2 linked regions of the Canis lupus familiaris genome follow. The protein of the gene in region 1 interacts with the protein of each later gene in a biochemical or structural test. Links are inferred from orthologs where the notes say so. Each region holds a gene or a part of one and is shown in the gene's direction. Other genes may lie near its edges.

Region 1 (10,405 bases):
ACTGTAGCCTCAGAGCAGGCTGGAAGACGTCTCTCCAGCCTGGAGGCCGTAGGCAGTGGCCTAGACAACCCCTCAGTATCCCCTGGGAAGGGCCAGAGGCACCAGCACCAAATGCTCTGCCTCATTGGCTGTCAGTGAATGTTCCTTTTTGAGGATAGAGCAAATGGGAGGGACAATTTTTGGTACCTGAGGTCCCTGGGCATGATAAGGGATTTAGGATAGTTAGCAAAAAGGGCTTTCCTTATTTTGTCTTTGATCTTTGATAAAACTCCCTTCCTCTGTTGAGTGAGAAATTGTATCTTTGTTAAGAGGGCACAAACTCTTGTTTTCTTGTTGATAGAAGACCCTTAAACCCTTGCCTGCCGGCTATCCCTGTCAAGATTCTTAGAGTCCCAGAGTCTGTCTTGGGGCAGAGCCCCAAAGGGAAATGCAGGCCCAAATCTGTTATGATTTTCTTCTACATTTGCCTCTGATGTGTATTCATTGATGCATCTTCTTAGCCCAGGAAGACAGTCATTGTTTGTCTGTGCTTCTGCACTAGTTGATGTCTGTAGAGGTTCTCGGCTCTGCCAGGTATCCCTGTGAGGGACCTCGGGGGGCAGGGCAGAGCCTGTGACCCAGAAGTTCCCCAGGATCTGCCCACAGCAGAGTTCAGCCTTTGTCAAAGGGCCTTCCAGAGGGCCTGGGCTCATGGAAGAGCCTGCAGCAGGGCCAGCCCCAAGGACACTGCCGGCAGGCGGGGCCAGTCTGCAAGAGGCAGACCAGCTGCACAGGCTCCCCACTAATGCCATGTCCCTCTTCTGTTCTCTGCAGGAAAGGGAACCGTACCAGCCTCTGTACCACGGAGGCCAAGCTTTGAAGGAACAGGTGACCCTTTCCCACCCTACCATCAGATGAGTGCGGCAGCCTACGAGGGTGGCAGCACACTGGAGGAGGTGCCTCGCCAGTACATGGACTTTCTCTTCACTGGAAGCACTCACAGTGTGCCCAGTGGCCATCAGCACCAGCCCAAAGGCTATGCCGCAAACATGGAGGCCGCGGGCATGAGCTTCCCAGTGGCTGGCCCTGGGGGCCAAGCCCTCCCGCTGCAAGGCCCCCACTACAGGCCACACCTGCTGGTGCCTGGGGAGCCGCTGGGCTATGGCATCCAGCGCAGCCCCTCCTTCCAAAACAAGGAGGCCGGAGCTTATGCAAACTTGGCTGCCAAGGGCCCAGGTGGGCAGCCTGGGGCTGGCCATGCGTTCCCGCCCACGGGAACACCGACAGGTCTGTATATGCCCCACACGCACCACAAGCAGGCCCACCAGGTGCACATGCTGGGCTCCAGGGGCCAGGTGTTCACCAGCGACAGCCCCCCCCAGAGTCTGATGACACCCTCCAGAAACAGCCTCAACGTGGACCTATATGACCTGAGCAGCCCTCCTGTCCAGCAGTGGCAGTCCTCTACCCTGTCCCGCCGTGACTCTCTTCAGAAGCCAGGCCTGGAGGCACCAGCCCGCCAGCACGTGGCATTCCTGCCTGAAGGCCCTGTCCCTAGCAGAACCAACTCCTTCAACAACCACCAGCAGCCAGTGGCCGTGCCCATCCGGGCGGGAGTGCCCAGCAAGACAGAGCCGTCCATGCCCTCCCCCAACACCATCACAGCTGTGACAGCCGCCCACATCCTGCACCCAGTGAAGAGTGTGAGGGTGATGCGGCCCGAGCCTCAGACGGCTGTGGGGCCCTCCCACCCAGCCTGGGTGCCAGCGCCCACCCCCTCTGGAGCCGAGGGTCTGGACGCCAAGGATGAGCACCCTCTGCCCCTGGGGGGCGCCAGTGCGTACCCGCTGGATGTTGACTATGGCAGCCCAGACCTGAGGTGCCCACCCCCGCCCTACCCCAAACACCTGCTACTCCGCAGTAAGTCCGAACAGTACGATGTGGACAGCCTGTGCGCGGGCCTGGAGCAGAGCCTCCGTGGGAGCCAGGCTGCAGAGCCTGCCGACAAGACTGACAAGAGCCACAAGAGCGCCAAAGGGGACAAAGCAGGGAAGGATAAAAAGCAGATTCAGACCTCTCCTGTTCCTGTTCGGAAAAACAGCAGAGATGAAGAGAAGAGGGAGTCCCGCATCAAGAGCTACTCCCCATACGCGTTTAAGTTCTTCATGGAGCAGCACGTGGAAAACGTCATAAAAACCTACCAGCAGAAGGTCAACCGAAGGTTGCAGCTGGAGCAGGAAATGGCAAAAGTAATTTCTCATTATGTCCTTATCATTGGGCCCTGGTTCTTTCCTAAAGTGGTAATGGGAATTACAGCAGAATCCCATTTCTGTTTCTGCTTTATGCACCTTTATTACAAACAATTAGTCTCACGGGGCGATGGTGGGTTATAGGCGAACAGCTTGGCAATGTCACAGATGTTGCTGGATCTGTTGCACGTTCACACTGACTCTGCAGGTGAGCAGTGAACACTGTGCATGATTCCCCCAACAGGCAGATTGCCAGATCGATTTTTAGGGTCAGTCCTTATTTATTAACAAAATTTGTCAAATTTTAGTAACTGGTACTTAAACACTTTGAAAGGGTAGAAACAAAGTTTGAGATTTTATAAATTGAAATTGTGGGATTTATAAAGAAAAATATATCTGGTAACAATCTATTTATCCTTTAATTCTATAATTAACAAATATTTTTTTTAAGATTTTATTTATTTGGGAGAGGGACAGAGGGAGCACAGCAGGGGGAGAGGCAAAAGCCAGAGGGAAAGGGAGAAGCAGACTCCCCACTGAGCAGGGAGCCCAATGCATGACTCCATCTCAGGACCCGGAGATCATGACCTGAGCCCAAGGCAGATGCTTAACCGACAGCCTCCCAGACACCCAGCAAATACATATATATGTTTTAATATTTTATTTATTTATTCATGAGAGACACTGAGACAGAGAAGCAGAGACATAGGCAGAGAGAGAAGCAGACTTTGTGCAGGGAGCCTGATGTAGGACTGGATCCCGGGACTCCAGGATAATGCCCTGAGCCGAAGGCAGATGCTCAACCACTGAGCCACCCAGGCGTCCCTCAGCAAATATTTTAAATGTACCTTAGTTGACAGTAATCTGCTAGAGAAGGTTATTGAGGAAATGATTTAAATTAAAATGTTACAGTAAATTGAAATCACACAAAGTCAATCATTGCAAATTCTAAAAATCTGTGCTCTTTCTGCTCTCCCATTTTCATTGATTTTTCTTTGTTCCCATTTTCCTTGAGCTATTCAATTATTAGATTGCTCTTAGAGTTCCAGGAACTTTGTGGTCCCCTTTTCAAAAATTTTTATTTATAGAGGTTTCCTTTAGAGCCTAAAAAGGAAGTAATTTCACCTGTTTTATCTTCCCTTTAGATTCCAGATGTGTGTCTACATAAGCATATAAAGAACAAACCAGTTGCTTGTTAGTATACTGGACCTATTCAGTGTTCTTAAATATGAAAATTAAGTTAGGACTGTCTCAGTTCTAGGGTCTCCCGCCCCACCTGTTTCCTATCATGTGACCAATAATGTGACTTCCTTGTTTTCCTTCTCCACAGGCTGGACTTTGTGAAGCTGAGCAGGAACAGATGAGAAAGATCCTCTACCAGAAGGAGTCTAATTACAACAGGCTGAAGAGGGCCAAAATGGACAAGTCCATGTTTGTGAAAATCAAAACCCTGGGGATCGGTGCCTTTGGAGAAGTGTGCCTTGCTTGTAAGGTGGACACTCATGCCCTATATGCCATGAAGACCCTGAGGAAGAAGGATGTCCTGAACCGAAATCAGGTGGCCCATGTCAAGGCTGAGAGGGACATCCTGGCCGAGGCGGACAATGAGTGGGTAGTCAAACTCTACTACTCCTTCCAAGACAAGGACAGCCTGTACTTTGTGATGGACTACATCCCAGGGGGGGATATGATGAGCCTGCTGATCCGGATGGAGGTATTCCCTGAGCACCTGGCCCGGTTCTACATTGCAGAGTTGACTCTGGCCATTGAGAGTGTCCATAAAATGGGCTTCATCCACCGAGACATCAAGCCAGACAACATTTTGATAGATCTTGATGGTCACATCAAACTGACAGATTTTGGCCTCTGCACTGGGTTCAGATGGACTCACAATTCCAAATACTACCAGAAAGGTATTGTCTCAGACGTGCCACATCCACTTTTTCTTTTTTTTTAAGATTTTATTTATTCATGAGAGACACAGAGAAAGGTAGAGGGATAAGCAGGCTCCATGCCGGAAGCCCGATGTGGGACACAATCCTGGGTCTCCAGGATCACACCCTGGGCTGAAGGTGGCGCTAACCTGCTGAGCCACCGGGGCTGCCCGCCACATCCACTTTCTACATCTAGACATAACTGAACTAAGGCAATGCTTTCCCATCCTGGTGGCTCCTGATCATTTTGAAATTATCTGTTTTCCATTATTCTATAATTTGATATGACATCCTTTTCTTCCTGAAGGAGATGCAAGTTATATTATAGTATTTTTAGGACAGTAGGCTGTGGGGTGTGGACCTTGGTTGGGAACCATCGCTCTGCCCTTATAAAATGAGCCTTAAAAACTAAGCCTTACAACCTTCCAAGAGTCCTCTTCTTATAGCTAATGTGATTTTTTTCTATAGGTATCTCTAAGTGTAGGTATAGGTTAACACCATCTTTTGCAGTCCTCCTGGCCATTATCTTATTTATGGCTTAATTTCTTGAAATAGTCATTTTAATACCATGGCTCAGCCTTTTATTTTATTTAAAAAAAATTTTTTTTAATGTAATCTCTACACCCAATGTGGGGCTTGAACTCAACCCTGAGATTAAGAGTTGCATGCTCCATCAACCGAGCCTCATGCTTCTATTTTTCAACTCAAAACTAATCCTAATTTAATTCATTCCCATTAATGCCATTCATTCTGGCATTAAAGTCACTTTTGTTTATATTTTTTAATTCCTCTCATGCTTTTCCACGCTCATCTTGAAACATGTCTTGTCAGACAGGTAGTAGACTTTGGCCCGCATGCTATGCACGATATTGCCACAGTTACCTGAGCTTTGCTCCCTCAGCATCACACTATCACCCTGCACAGCACCCAACTCCTGTCATTGCTTCATCCGTTGTTCGTAGTGTTTGTGTTACCTCATGGATTGAGTCTACAGAGCAGTTGGGGAGGATTCTTTCTCTTAACATGTCAGGAGCTGAACTGAATTACTTTCCCCTTTGAAATTGTGGATTTGTTGCATTGTTGAATAGTGGAAATTCATTTTTTTATTCCCTTCTTCACTGCCCCTGATTCCTGGATGAAAGGGAGCCACATCAGACAGGATAGCATGGAGCCGAGTGACCTCTGGGACGACGTGTCTAATTGTCGATGTGGAGACAGGCTGAAGACCCTGGAGCAGAGAGCCAGGAAGCAGCACCAGAGGTGCCTGGCTCACTCCCTGGTTGGGACCCCAAATTACATCGCACCGGAAGTGCTCCTCCGAAAAGGTGCGTGCTTCCAGCCACAGCCAGCTGCCCAACTGGCAGCCATCTTCACTTCAAACCTGAGCCAGATGACCTCTAAGAGTCTCTCCAGCTCCAGCTGTCTGAGACTCTGAATGTTCTCATTGTATTTTTGTACTTGTGGAAGCCCAAGAGTGAAATTATTTCCCTAACAAACAAGCCTCCAATGTATCTCATGTCTTTTGCAACTGCCCTTGCTTCCAGGGTGAAAGAGGACATACACCATTAGACGTGTCTTGCTAGTTCACTCCTTTGGCTGGGAAGTGTTAGGTTGGGGTGTAGGGTTGGGCTTTCTATCTAGAACCCAAGAGAATCTCTCCACATTGCTTTGACAGACACATCTCTCAGAGCACAGGGACACTACTCAGTCTCCTAAGCCATACACGTCCAGGATCCCGCTTTGACTCTTCCTTGCCTGAGTTCCTAGCTGCTTATACCAGCTGGTTATGGTTATATTCAGCTGGTTATGAAGTATGACAGGACATAAGTATTGTTTCCCTCCAGTTCTCCCCCTGTTGTTCCAGAAGTGCTGGAAGGTGAGATTTGGGGGCAGTGGTGTACATGCAACTACAAGCATTCAGTAGAATTAGTCTCCTGTGTGGATGCTCTGTTTTATCAAATACGACATTTGATTGAGTACGAGAAGAACCTTTCAGGGATCAGTTGCAGGGCTTTTAGTGACAGTATAATAAATCCAGAGATCGGTGGTCTGTCTTTTCACATGTGGTGGTCTGTCTTTTCACATGTGTTGTTTTACTCCAGTTTTCTTTGTCAGCTGTGGAAATCCAAAGCAAAGCACTTAACCACTCAGAGCCACAGGTATAACAATAACTACCTTGAGAGGTTGCTGTGAACATCAGCCTTACCGCACAGGAAAGTCTCATTGTCTCCTTCCTCTCACAGTGGGAGGTGAGAAGTATCTCCAGCACCCTAATGTGTGCAGTCCTGGAACTAGGGATCCAAGTTACCCTGCCACCTCTAGTGCCAGACCAGGGTGGAAGAGCTGGGGGATGGGGTGATGGGAGAACACAGCAAATGCTGCTGGCAGGTCTTAAGGCCCAGTTCAGGCTTAGCCAGGATCAGGTGACATCAAGACTGGAGCATGACTGGGACTAGGATGCAGAGCTCTGAAGGACAAGTGGGAGAAAATTGAAAAATGGGCCTGTTGTACTGCCTTGGTGAGGCTGGCTCGCCTGACCAAGCTGCAGGCGCCCTGCCGCAGCTACCGCACCTTGGGAGCTCCGTGAGGAAGGGCCTGGCTCTCTGAGTGCATCGCAGTAGGTCTTAGGAGACAGTTGTTTTCTTTGCCCTCCTCTTCATACTCCTCAACTTCTTCCAAAACAGACTTAGCAAGCCTCCCAGGGAAGCCCTCAGGACTGGCAGGTAGAGCACTTTCTGGTTTTCAGTTAGTCCTATTTTAGTTTATGTCTTTCAGTTCTTTAAGAACTGAAAATCCCGGTTAGTGATGTTACTAACAATAGGCTTTTAAAAGTAGAAAGTCTTATTATAAAAGCATCCTGTGTTTATTACAGACTAATTGTAGAAAATAAGAGAATACATGAAGACTGTCACCACCCTGGCAGGTGTCCCACCCAGCCTGCTATTCTGAGCCACACGTACAGGGAGGCACATTTTGTGTCGGTTGCTTTCCTTTTACATGACATGTGTGCTGCTTGAACATGCTTTCCCCTTCAACGGCAAATTAGCATTTGAGGATTTTGCAAAACTCTTCTCTGAGAAGAATGCACACCTGTGTGGAATTGAGTGAGACTTTGTCTTTCAGGATACACTCAGCTCTGTGACTGGTGGAGTGTTGGTGTGATTCTCTTCGAGATGCTGGTGGGACAGCCACCCTTTCTGGCCCCTACCCCCACGGAAACCCAACTGAAGGTAGGTACTAACCAGCCCATGCATCTGCTCGCTGCAAACACACTTGGTTTTCTGATGAACCCATGAGTCTCTGGTCAGCATTTGACCTTTAATTCTGAGTAGTGGAAGAGTGTCAGTTGTATGTTTTTAAATCATTATTATTACCTGTATAAAAAGTTTTATTTTAATAAGTAAAGCCACCAAGTTAGACCTGTGTTTTGATATCTATGTATATCTGAAGTTTTACTTGAACCATTGGTCATCCGCCATCTTGAACTATGAACAGGGAGAAGCAGTAAAGGTGGGCCCTATGTCCATTCTCTGCTGCCACACGTGCCTACCTGCAAAAAATACTGAAAACTTTATGAACTGTACTTGAAGAAATCAATTACTTCTTTGGATATTATACTACATTATACACTATATCCATTATTGCTTGCAGATTATCAGCTATGTGATTGGGCTAGTTGCACATTTTTCTAATATTGATTGGAAGTAATCATTTAATAGTAAATAATTAGTTTTGGAGTTATAACCATTATTCTCTGAAATAAATGATTTGATTTCTTAGGAAGGACTGAATTGAGAATTTGATAAAATCTTTGGAACATCTTTGAACAGTGCACTTACCCACCAAAATATGTGTTCACTAAAAATTCTTGAAGTATTCATAAGTCCCAGAGTCCATGTTAGACCCTAAATTAATAATCCCTTATTTAGAAAAATCCTGAATGAAGGCTTAGTTTTCACTCTGGTAACAATAAAAATGAAATTTGACACTATTTCTATCCTAATTGAATTGCCATACCATTCACTAATTTGCTTGTATGATAACTCAATTTTTTATTGTGATAAAATTTACCAGTTTAAACATTTTTAATTTTACAGCTGAGTGGCTTTAAGTGCATTCACAGTGTTGTACGACTGTAACCATAACCTATCTTCGATAGTTTTATCATCCCAAACAGAAACTGGGCTCATCAACAATAGCTCCCCATTCCTCCCACCCCCAGACCTCTCTTTGACTTTTTTCTCTGTGAAGTTGCCTAGTCTAGGTATCCTGTAAAAGTGTAATACCGTATTTGTCCTTTCACCACTGGCTTATTTCACTTTAGCATGTCTTCGAGGTCCATCCATCTTGTAACGTGTCAGAATTTCCTTCCTTTTTAAGGCTGAAGAATATTCCAGTGTATGTGTATAGCACATATATTTATCAAGCATCTGGTGATGAACAATTGGGCTTTTTCTACCTTTTGGTGATTGCGAATAATGCTGCTGTGAACATGAGTACATATACAAGTATCTGTTTGAGTTCCTGCTTTTGTTTTTGGGGTTACATGCCCAGAAGTGGAATGGCCAGATCATATGGTCATTCTACATTTAACTTTTATTTTATTTATTTTTTTTTTACATTTAACTTTTTGAGGAACCACCAAACTGTTTGCCACAGTGGCTACATGATTTTACATTCCCATCATCAGTGCTTGAGGCTTCCAGTTTCTTCACATGCTCATCAACATTTACTTCATTTGTTGTTGTTGTTGTTTAATAGTAATCATCCTAGTGGGTGTGAGGTGGTATCTCATTGTGGATTTTTTTTTTTTTTTTTAAGATTTTTACTTATTTGTTCACGAGAGATACAGAGAGAGAGGCAGAGACATAGGCAGTGGGAGAAGCAGGCTCCCTGTGGGGAACCCGATGTGGGACTTGATCCCAGGACACTAGGATCATGATATTATATATTCTGGACAGTAATCCCTGATCAGATATATATGCTTTGCAAATATATTCTCCCTTTCTGGGGGTTACCTTTTCACTCTGTTAATAGTGTCCTTTGATGCACAAAAGTTTTAAATTTTGATGAAGTCCGTTTTGTGTATCTTTTGTTTTGTTGCCAGTGCTTTTTGGTACCATATACAAGAAATTTTGCCAAATCCAATGTCATGAATATTTGCCCCTATGTTTTCTTCTGTGGCTTTCACAGTTTTAGATCTACTAAAACAACTACTCAAGTTTGAACCAGCCCTCCCACCCATACCCCACCTGCCTCCATGCCTTACCAATGCCCTGTCACCCCAGCCTGTGGCCTGTTAGCTTGGCCTTGCTTTATCCTGATTCTAAGTATAAATAATAGAGAAGTCTCTTAGGTTTTCTTTTCATAGCAGATGCATTTCATAACAAATGTATTTACTGAACATCCCAATGGCTGCTCTGTGTGGTTGACTGTCATGAATATGAGGCCAGGGCCATTGGTTCAGTCACCTTTATTTTCCTCTGTGAGGTTGTCTTTTTTTTTTTTTTTTTTTTTTTTTTAATAAAACCTCAGTTGACCATCTGTTGGCCATAATAATCACAAAATTCTTTTGCTAAACTCTTTTTCTGATAGAAGAAAATCAGTCTCTTTTGGTCTCTATTTGGCTTCATCACCCCCTGCCTCAGGCTGTGAGCCCTTTACTAAACCACACTGGCCTTTCCTAGCTGCTCAGGTTTGCAACTGCTGCTCCTGGGTTTGTTCTAACTGTTGTCCCGTCATGAAAGTAAAATTATTTGAAAGCCATGTCACCACATACTGTCTCAGAACTGCCCTAAACTGGCCTTAAAATGTGAAAAGAAAGGAAAATTTGGGTTCTGTTGTCTCGTCAGGTGATAAACTGGGAGAACACGCTCCACATTCCAGTCCAGGTGAAGCTGAGCCCCGAGGCCCGGGACCTCATCACCAAACTGTGCTGTGCTGCCGACCACCGGCTAGGGAGGAATGGGGCCGATGACCTGAAGGCCCACCCATTCTTCGGGGCCATTGACTTCTCAAGTGACATCCGGAAGCAGCCGGCCCCGTATGTTCCCAAGATCAGCCACCCCATGGACACCTCAAATTTTGACCCCGTAGATGAAGAAAGCCCTTGGAATGATGCTAGTGAAGATAGCACGAAGGCCTGGGACACGCTCACCTCCCCAAATAATAAACACCCTGAGCACGCATTTTATGAATTCACTTTCCGAAGGTTCTTTGATGACAACGGCTATCCCTTTAGAT
Region 2 (10,505 bases), on another chromosome or scaffold:
ATAAATAAAACCTTAAAAAAAAATAACTGGGTAAATGGCGATCAGAAACCGGAGATATCTGGGAAGAGAAGTAAAGAAAGAACAAACTCAGATGCTTACAGGTAACACTTTGCTATGTTTATCCTCATTGGGCATATACATTTCTTTTTGGAAGCCCATCTTATGGCTTCAAATACTTTTTTTAAAGATTGTATTTATCGGGCAGAGAGCCCGGTGTGGGACCCGATCCTGGGGCTGCGGGATCACACCCCGACCCAAAGGCAGATGCTCAACCGCCCAGCCACCCAGGCATCCCATTCAAACACTTTTTTTTTTCAAACTATCAAACTCCACTCATTGGGCCAGAGACTCGTGTGTTAGGAGTAGACTTGCCCCTCCTGTAGCACACTATCTACACTGTGTGTTCATCGGCCAGCCAGTGGCCTCAACTCCAAGCTCTAACAACGTGGGGTTTCAAATACGATTTACTTACTGAGGTCTGTATTCATGCCACTAGTTCAGATCTTGACCCCCGCCCCTGACATGCTTTGCACTGTAGGCAAAACTCTACCTGGTACCACTACTCTGCTGTCTAATGGACATCTCAAAGCAAACATATCTAAAATGGAACTTTTAGTTTTACTCCCAAATTGTGACTCGTATCTTCCCTATTTCAGTAAATGGGTATTTCCATCAATTGCCAAAGCCAAAATAATAGTAGTAATCTTTGTCTCCTTCATTTCCCCAACCTCCACAATCAATCGATCACCAAGTGCTGTTGGTATTACCTTGAGATTATTAATTTCTTCTATTATTGATACTACACGAAATCAAATCACAACTGAGAAACAACTGGACTATTAGAATAGTCTTCTGGTTTCCCTTCTGACATGCTGGCCCCTTCTGGTCCATTCTCCACAAGAAGAGAGTGATCTTTCCAAAATGTTAATCACAGATCATGAACTGATAATTGCTGAAGCTATGTGATGGATTCATTATATTAATTTCTTCCCCTTTGTATATGTTTGAAATTATCAAATTTGAAAAACCGAAATGTTATTTGGATTATTTTATTTTACTTCTCTGCTGACTTCTCCAAATGTCTTGCCTAGGCCTGTGAACCCCAGCCTGCCCTCGGACATGTCCAGCTTTATCTGATGCCATTCTTCTTGCTCACTTGCCCAGGTTATAACCTTTCAGTTTTAAGAACTCCTTAAGCTCTTTCTTATCTTAGAGCATTTGTGCTTGTTATTTCCTCTACCAGAAAATGCTCATCTGCTCGCTCTTCGCAAGTCTGGCTCCTTCTCTGTTTCAGGTCTTAGCAAAAATGTCACCTCCTTAGGGAGGCTTTTCTTAGCTCTCCCTTCACTGGTACTATCACATTATTCTATTTACTTCCTATCTTACCACAATTTATAACTATTGTTTGTTTATATTTATATATATATAATTACACTTACTTGTAAATTTGAACGAAACTTTTTATTTTAACTTTTGTAAAATATTTTATTTATTCATTTGAGAGAGAGCACAAGCAGTGGGAGCAGCAGAGGGAGAGGGAGAAGCAGGCTCCCCGCTGAGCAGGGAGCCCAACATGAGGCTCAATCCCAGGGCCCCATGATTATGACCTGTGCCAAAGGCAGACGCCCAACCAACTGAGCCACCAGGTGCTTCTGAATGAGTCTTTTTTTTTTTAAAGGACATTTTTTAAAAAATTTTTATTTATTTGTGATAGTCACAGAGAGAGAGAGAGAATGAGGCAGAGACACAGGCAGAGGGAGAAGCAGGCTCCATGCACCGGGAGCCCGACGTGGGATTCGATCCCGGGTCTCCAGGATCGCGCCCTGGGCCAAAGGCAGGCGCCAAACCGCTGCGCCACCCAGGGATCCCCTGAATGAGTCTTTTAAAAAGATATTTGAAGGTATATCCATACATGTTCTGTTCTATTCTTGTTATAGTGTCAATTCTTTGAAAAATTGGTAAATACAAATTTTAATCATCTTCCTTCATAAACAAAGACTTATTTTGGGGGAAGATTTTATTTATTTATTTGAGATAGGAAGAGAGCAGGAGAGAGAGAGTGCATGAGCAGGGGTTGGGGGCTAGGGGCAGAGGGAGAGGGAGAGCAGGCTCTCCACTGAGCAAGGAGCCTGATGCGGGGTTCGATCCTAGGATCCTGGGATCACAATCTGAACAGAAGGCAGATGCTTAACTGACTGTGCTACCCAAGTGCCCACATAAACAAATATTTATAAATAAAATAAGATTTTGATCAGGAGAGTAACTTCTTGAAATTTTAAGAGGAGAGTAATATGAAATATGAATTGGTGAAGGTGAAATTGTCATTAGAAACGTCTATTTGAATATACCCTTTATTTGATTCTAAATTTTCCAGTGCTTTTGAAGCTGAATAATTTTGTGACAGCCACAGTATGATTTAAATGTTTAATCTCTGGAATTATATTCTGTATTATTAACATGACACCTCTATCATTTCTAAGACCAATATATTTAAATTTTATCAGGCGTTAATTTCAGGCAGCTCTCCTTGAGATATGAAAAGAAGAACTCAGCAGGTAATTTGGCAGATTCTCTCCTCTGCTGATCATTATTCTGATTCAGTGTCATAGAATTCATCTAAACTGTGTTAGAACAAAAGCAAAGCCACATAAGCCACCTACCAAGTCAGTGAGCAGATGAGAACTGTCTGCCAGTCCTTTGAATGAAACCCCTGACATAACAGATTTTAGAACTGGAAGATATCTTACAGATCATGTAATAATCCAAGGCTCTCATTTTAACAGGGGTGAGACGGTTGTTTGAACAGGTCAACTGATTTACTCCCCCCAAACATAATTTCCTAATCTGGTTAATTCAAGGTCTTACTTTCAGAAGACCCTTAAGGAATGATATAGTAAATTAGTAGCACCAAATCAAGATGTGGGCTTTTGTCGTAAATCCATTATCTTCACTATATTAAGATGGATTCTTCCCCTCTTCTTTCCTGCATCTTCTGAGTCTTTAAGTCTCAAATTATTCCAGTGACCTCTGCTTCTTTGGAGTTGGTGTCAAGATTCCAAGATTTTCTTCTTTTTTTTAAATTTTTATTTATTTATGATAGTCACAGAGAGAGAGAGAGAGAGAGAGAGAGAGAGAGAGGCAGAGACACAGGTAGAGGGAGAAGCAGGCTCCATGCACCGGGAGCCCGATGTGGGATTCGATCCCGGGTCTCCAGGATCGCGCCCTGGGCCAAATGCAGGCGCCAAACCCCTGCGCCACCCAGGGATCCCTATTTTCCTCATTTTTAAAACATGGTTTGATTTGCCAAAGTAATAGTGCACAAACGCAACAGAATACACTGCATATTAGTACTTCTTTTAAGTAACCAACCCAAGGTGGGTTAATAGCTGCACATTATTTAAGTTTTGTTCAGATACTTTGAAAATTTACTTGTCGATTTTTTTTTAAGATTCAAAAAAGTCACTTATTTGACAGAGAGAGAGAAAGCATAAGCAGGGGGAGCAATAAAGGGAGAGAGAGAAGCAAGCTGTCCCCTGAGCAGGGAGTGCAACAGGGGCTGGGTCCCGGGATCCTGAGATCAGCACCTGAGCCAAAGGCAGGCACCTCACTGAGCCACCCCGGCGCCGCTTACTTGTGATTTGGTGCTTGCTGCGCGTAGAGATGCACATGTCATGTGCAATAAATGGGTCCTCAAATTGATAACGTTGGGGGGGGGGGGGTTGGCTCTCGGCGGATGCTGATTCAGCAAGCATTTACGGGGCCCAGGACCACTGTAACCGCTGGGCGCTGCACGAAGCATCCTGGAGGCCGGACATGGCTCAGTCTCCCTTGCAGAGCTCCGCATTTCGGAGTCAAGGGTTCTGGGCCAAACTCTGGGATCTGCTCAGGAACGCTCCGGGCACCAGGGCCGAGGACAGCCTAAGCTGCCTGCGGAGGCAGTGACGGCCCCGGGCGGCCCCCGGTTCAGGGCTCTCAGGCGCGACCTCACGATGGCAGGGACCCTGAGCCCCACGCAGACTCCCGGGCTCCGGCGGAGCCACGCCCAACCTGTTCCAAACACGTTGCCCTCCTCGGGTCTCTAAGGCGGCAGGGGCGGCCCCGCCTTCGTCATCCCTGGCACATCCGCAGCCGGCGGGTCTCCGCGGGCAGATCCGTCCCTCGCTGCAGAGCCCCGGCATCCCGGGGTCGGCGCTCGCTTCCCTCCTGGCTGCTGGAGCCCCGCGGGGCAGCGCCGCGCCCCCGACCCGGTGCACGGGCCGGTAGCGGCGGGCGGGCTCCGCGGGAGGAGGAGGGTGGGCGCGCGCCGCTCTCGCGAGAGCTCGCGGGGTGAGGGCCGCGGGGGGCGGGGCGAAGCGGGAGGAGGGGGAGGGGAGGGGGCGGCTCTGCGGCGGCGGCGGCGGCTGTGCTCCCGGGGGCGGGCGTGCGGCCTTTCCCCGCCTCCCGGAGGGCGATCCGCGCCGGGCGCCTCTCCCTCCCGCCCCCTCTGCCTGCCGTTGGAACTAGCAGAGCCGAGCTGGTCGCGCCGCGGAGAAGCCGGCGCCGCCTTCCTCCTGCTCCCGCGCGCCTGCCGCCCCGAGGCCTAGAGACGCCGCCCAGCCCGCGCCGCGGCCGACATGAGCTTCTTGTTGTGAGTCGCCGGGCCCCGCGCGCCGGCTTTGTTCGGGCGGCCCCGGGGGGGGGGGCGGGGGCTCCCCCGCGGTCCCGGCCCCCCTGCAGCCCCGCAGCCCCCGAGCAGGCTCTGTCCGCCCGGCCCTGCACCCCGCGGCTCCGAGCCTCCCTGCCCCTTGCCCGGGGCTCGCGCGCTGCGCTGGGCTGCGCTGCGGGGACACCTGCTGCCCCTCCCCTCCCCTCCCCGGCCCGTGCGTCCTGCGCCGCCAGCTGCCGCCCGCCGCCTCCTTCTGGGTCCCGAGCATAGAAGAGTGGGCGCTGCGCTTTTTTTTTTTTTCCCCCCTGTGGCCTCAGCGCCCTTTTAACTTTCCCCTTAGGTTTTAGGAGTGGAAGTCGGGGCGCCGAGCCCCGTGGAGGGGACACCCTTAACGAGGCTGCTTTCGGGTCCGGATGCCCTGGCGACAGCCCGAGGCCTCGGGGTCTGCAGAGCCGCCTGCCTCCCCCCGCCCCTCCCCGGCGTGCGCCCCCGGGAAGTCCGGGCCTCATCCTTTCAGACAAGCACCCATCAGTCGGGCTTGATTAGGTCCGCGGGGAGTTGTTTTGCGAAGGATTTGAAAATGCCAATAACGTCACGTTTAGGACTGGTCGTTATTTCATTTATTCGTCCTTTATTGTGGACGATTTTAGGAGGGATGGGCAGACCAACGGGATGGGCAAATGGGAGTATGGGGGCAGCAGACAGCCTCAGGTCGTCAGCAAACAGGACTTGACACCCTCGGAATTCCTCTTTTGAAGGCTTCGTTGTGATTCACCCACGTTTAGTCTGTGGTTAGAGAAGCTCATAAAGACTCGGAGGCTGAAACTTGCACCTTATACTCCTTTACTGCCGTGGACGGGATAGCATTTTCCTTCACAACAATGACCCTAGCAGTTGTGTCCCGATTTCCTTCTTTCCCCACCTGTAATTTTTTAGTCATCAACATTGGCACTTGGATCCTGAGAATTTAATTGACCCTTAATTTCACGTGCTCATACGTGGGATTTTAATCGTTTTCCGGGCATTATGCAAAGCTGTGATCACAGAACATTAACTGGCAGGTGGTGGGCTTGATATTTCTCGTGTGCACAGGAGCCCTGCCTTGAGTCACCCTGCGGAACACATGTGAGTTGGTGAAATCTCTTTCTTAGGCTCATCCTGGAAGTTGATCTGAGTGTGTCATACAGGTGTGCTACATGAGAGGACTGGGTGACTTTATGAAGGTCTCTGCTTCCAGTTTTAGCTTGAATCCAGGTATCCAGGTGTCTCAGCTTGAAGCTTCTCATCTAGACTATGTTTTACATTGCTTGTATTTGATTTCTTCAAGAATGTAGAAGCTGTCTTCAAAATAGCAATGTGGATGATGTCCATGACTGCTGCCGATGGGCTTGTGTCTCTTGGAACTCAGAGCTAAATTGGTTGAAGCAGGGAAGAACCATATTTGGCTGAAACTAGGGGATGTCTCGAGAAGGTCTTGGTGATATTTTCTGAATACAAATAGAATAGTATCCTATTTTTACATGGCTCAGTATTTTATAGTTACTGAAATGCAGTGCTTAAGTTCATTTCTTCTGAAGCATACAAGTTACATAAGAAAAACCCTGCCATAACAAATGTGTGTATATATATATGTGTATATATATATACCACATTATAGGTTTGTACTGTCTGGAGCACAATTTTTCAGTTAGGTTTCATGTAGCAGTTAATACATTCCCAATATATTTGGCCCTCATGCCTGACAATCCAAAAAAGTTAATCCAACCTTATTGGTTTTGTTTTTTGTCTACCAGTAGTTTCAAATCTAAAGTGAAGACCTCATGGATAGAAGTAATTATTATCAAAGTGAAAGAACAAAGTTTTGATTATTTCATCTATATATTATTTGGTATATCTTCCTGAAGATATACACCTATTTCTGTACCAGTAGGTGAGCAGGAAAATTAAAAGTTGCAAGTTAGGAAGTAAATGTAAACATTTTCTTCTAGCTCTTGGAAGCCTACTTGTAAGGCTACTGTAAATGATGGAGCCGAGGAAATAAGGGCAATGTGAGATAGGTTTATGAAGATGCTGACTCATAACTCCTGACGGCTTTAAGTCAGAAGGAGAGAATTATTGGTTAAGAAAATCGTTTATTGTGCCAGGTACTGATGTAGGCACCGGGTATCATTTATGAACAAAACAGACAAAAATTCCTGTATTAGTTCAGCTTATGTTTTGGTAAGTGACCATAAACACTGAATACCAGTAAATTATATTGCATTGTAGGAGGATGTAAGTGCCATGGAACAAAGTAAAGCAGGGTAAAGAGGTTTTTTTGGAAGGGGAGATGAGGTAGATTAGGTAATCCCCAAACGGTACCCAGATAATCAGCAGCAATGATACCTTTTATAGCTTTTGTGCAAATGCTCAGAATAAATTGTACAGCATCTATAGATATGACTGGGACAAAGCTTTGGTTGTGCTACACATTGGCCTTTATGTATCTTCAGATTAATAAGCTAAACTCCCAAATGTACATAGGGAAACTTCACAGGAACCTAATTTAACTTTGTAGTCTCAAATCTTTAAACATCCTCAGCACCTGCTGTGTGCTAAGCATTGTGCGCAATGTGGAACTCCAGAGTGGTAGACAGTTTATAAATAGTCATCTGTAATAGATGCAATACAGTCATGGAGGTCTAAAGAATATGGAATAATTTGCTTTATTTGGGCTGGAGGAAGGCTTCTTGAAATAAGTGATTGATAGTTAATGGAATGTATAACAAGGGTTCTCTAAAAGGGTGTGGGAAACTAGAAGATTTCAGTCGCAGGAAACATCACAGAAACGTGAATTTGCTTGTGAATTGTCCATTTTCAGGTTTGTCCAGGAGGCTATGGAATTGTGGAGCTAGATGGGATCTATAGTAACATAGCTTACTCAACCTCTTTTGGGTAAAATGGCAAAATCACTGACATCAGGTTACCGGCCTAATTATTGGCTTGTGTTGAATTGAAACACAGGCCTTTTAGGGTTTTTCCTCTCTTGGCATTTTATGCACATAACATTCAGGGAAATTTAGGATCAGAGTGAGTTCTCAATGTTCATTCAGAGTACGTTGAGTGTTTTCTGTTTCTAGCATTTTGTAATTGCTGGTCTCTTCTGACCAATAGAATTTCACTGAAATATTTGACTTGGAAAAGACCAAGATATTATTTCCTAATGTAGGGCTACTTGATTGGAACAGAGTTAAAACAAATATTTGTAGTTAACTTTAAAATGGAAGTCTGGAGGAAAGGTGGTTTAGGGATGTGAATGAATATAAACCAGGTCTGTTTCTGTATAGGGAGAATCAGATCTGTTGGGAAAGGAAGGAAATACTGAGCATTATTCTAGGTAAATTCAATTTATCTTTTCCAAAATAATAGCAATTTAGGAAAGGAGATGTAGCTGTGTTTATATGTGTCTCTGTCTCCCTCTTCTACCTCTTTCAGTCCTGCCCCCCCTCACCAAAAATAACCCCAGCATCTTTGTTTTAAGGCAAATAAGCTGACTGACTGGAGTGCTTCAGCATCTTCACCTATAAAGGAAACTAATATTAATAATAGTAATAATAAATATTGCTAAGTGTTTACCATGTGCCAGGCACTCAGTGCTCTAAATGATTAACTTAGTTCAATAACTAGCAGAAGAAGAAACTAGCAAAGAGAGGTTAAATAATTTGTTTAAAATTATGGGGCCAGTGATAATAGCAGGGGTCTGAATTTTAGCAGTCTAAATCCAACAGTCCTGCCTCATATCTATAATTGATAAAATTATATAAAAAGATGGGATCCCTGGGTGGTGCAGCGGTTTAGCGCCTGCCTTTGGCCCGCCCAGGGCGCGATCCTGGAGACCTGGGATCGAATCCCACATCGGGCTCCCGGTGCCTGAAGCCTGCTTCTCCCTCTGCCTGTGTCTCTGCCTCTCTCTCTCTCTCTGTGTGACTATCATAAATAAATAAAAATTAAAAAAAAATTATATAAAAAGATAGTATTCAAAAGGCCTTGTTTTTAGAAGTCTCCCATTCCCAGGTATTAATAGCTCATACTCCTGGACTGTTTGCTAAGGGTCACCAAGAATATAATAGTGGAAGAAAAAAATAGAAGCTTTTAAATTTAAATAATACTTATAATTATTTTTGACTTCCATCTTTTATAAAAGATTTTATTTATTTATTTATGAGAGACACAGAGAGGCAGAGACAGGCAGAGGGAGAAGCAGGCTCCCTGTGGGAGCCTGATGCGGGACTCAGTCCCAGGACCCCAGGTTCACGAACTGAGCCAAAGGCAGATGCTCAACCAGAGTCATCCAGGTGCCCCTTGACTCCCATTTTTAATGTAAAAATAATACACATGTTGCAGAAATCACAATATAGTGCTAAGAAAAGCAAGAAAATAAGTCACTCATAATCATTACACCTTCCAAAATAACTATTATTTGTATTCTGTGATATAGTTTCCTCATCTTTCCTGCCACGTTTCTACTACATATAGACCAGATTTTCCATTTGGGAATTTTTTTATGTCAGCAAACATCATTCTGCAATATGATTTTGAATGGCTGTTGACCAAGTGTTAACAGTTTTGTTTTCTGACAGCCTGATTTACTATGTTATGCTTTTTTTGAGGGGTGGGGGAGTAGATTAAGTGTGGTCATCTTTTAGAACTACAGTTTGAGAATTGTAGATACCTGACTGGGTTTAGTTTACTTTTCCTCTCTAATATAGAATTGCTTTTGCTTTACATTACTGAGTGCAAAATAATTACTATGTGATCACTTTTATCATTATTGATTTTTTTTTTTTTTTGCCCTCATAGTTGCAGAGTTTTTGTACCTTTGGAGTGTCTAATATACAAAAGCACATGTAGTACTTCTTCTCAGCTGTATATTTGATTATGAGGTATTGGGACAGAATAGCTACGTGTACTTGAAAAAATGGTACCTTTTAGGAGCGTTAAGTCTTATAGAGAAATTTTTTTAACTCTTCTTTCCACATTTCCGTTTTTTAAAATTGAGATATAATTGATATATAACATTATGTTAGCTTCAAGAGTACAACTTGCATTTTTGTTTTGTATCAATCATCTAACTTAAGGCCATCCTTCATAGCTCATTTAGTAAAAAGTGTAGCTGTGAAACCTGTTCATTTGTAGAAAGTGGTTTTTAAATTTTATTTTGAAAGATTTTCAGATTTTTAGAAAAGTTGCAAAAAATAGCCCAAAGAATTCCTACATAGTTTTTATCCAGAGACCCCATTTAGTGTGATCCAATAATGTTATCCTCAGCAAAAGGGTCCAGTCATGACTCACCCAATTTTGTTCTTCAGCCTTCTTCCAACTGAAATATTTCCTTAAGTTTTCCCTTGCCTTTCAGGACCTTGATATTTTTGAGGATTATAGGCCAGTTATTTTGTGGAATATCCTTCAGTTTGAGTTTGTCATGTTTTCTTGTGGTTAGACCTGGTTATGCATTTGGGGCAAAAATATTACAGAAGTGTTACATAGGTTTATCTTATAGCTTCTTATGGTGCATTTAACATATGTTTGCCCATGATTGGAAGTGATCCTTTGATTAAAGCGTCTACAGAGATTCTCCAGTGTGACATTATTATATATGTTTTTTCCTTTGAGTAATTAATATTTTGTGGGGAGGTGTTTTGAGACTGTGGAACTGTCTCATTCCTCATTTTGTTTTCACCCACTAGTTTTAGTGTTCTTTGATGTTTCTTGTCTAACTTATTACTACTTATTACATTGATGGCTGTGTTCTAATTCTGTCAGGCTTTTACATTTATTTGACATTTTTACTGAAGAATTTTATCTATCAGTGGAGGCATTT

Evidence for each region.
Region 2: the proteins of LATS2 (region 1) and MOB1B form a complex in vitro, tested with the Homo sapiens proteins (2 studies listed by BioGRID). The link is inferred for Canis lupus familiaris from reciprocal best matches to the Homo sapiens genes LATS2 and MOB1B.

What each region holds. Positions count from the first base shown.
Region 1 is NC_049246.1:17,236,106-17,246,510, forward strand, and holds part of LATS2 (serine/threonine-protein kinase LATS2), read left to right. Parts: intron 1-813; coding exon 814-2,228; intron 2,229-3,558; coding exon 3,559-4,141; intron 4,142-5,304; coding exon 5,305-5,487; intron 5,488-7,285; coding exon 7,286-7,392; intron 7,393-10,014; coding exon 10,015-10,405. UniProt on the Homo sapiens protein: Negative regulator of YAP1 in the Hippo signaling pathway that plays a pivotal role in organ size control and tumor suppression by restricting proliferation and promoting apoptosis.
Region 2 is NC_049234.1:61,200,130-61,210,634, forward strand, and holds the start of MOB1B (MOB kinase activator 1B), read left to right. Parts: upstream 1-4,481; 5' UTR 4,482-4,613; coding exon 4,614-4,627; intron 4,628-5,227; exon of another isoform or gene 5,228-5,770; intron 5,771-10,505. UniProt on the Homo sapiens protein: Activator of LATS1/2 in the Hippo signaling pathway which plays a pivotal role in organ size control and tumor suppression by restricting proliferation and promoting apoptosis.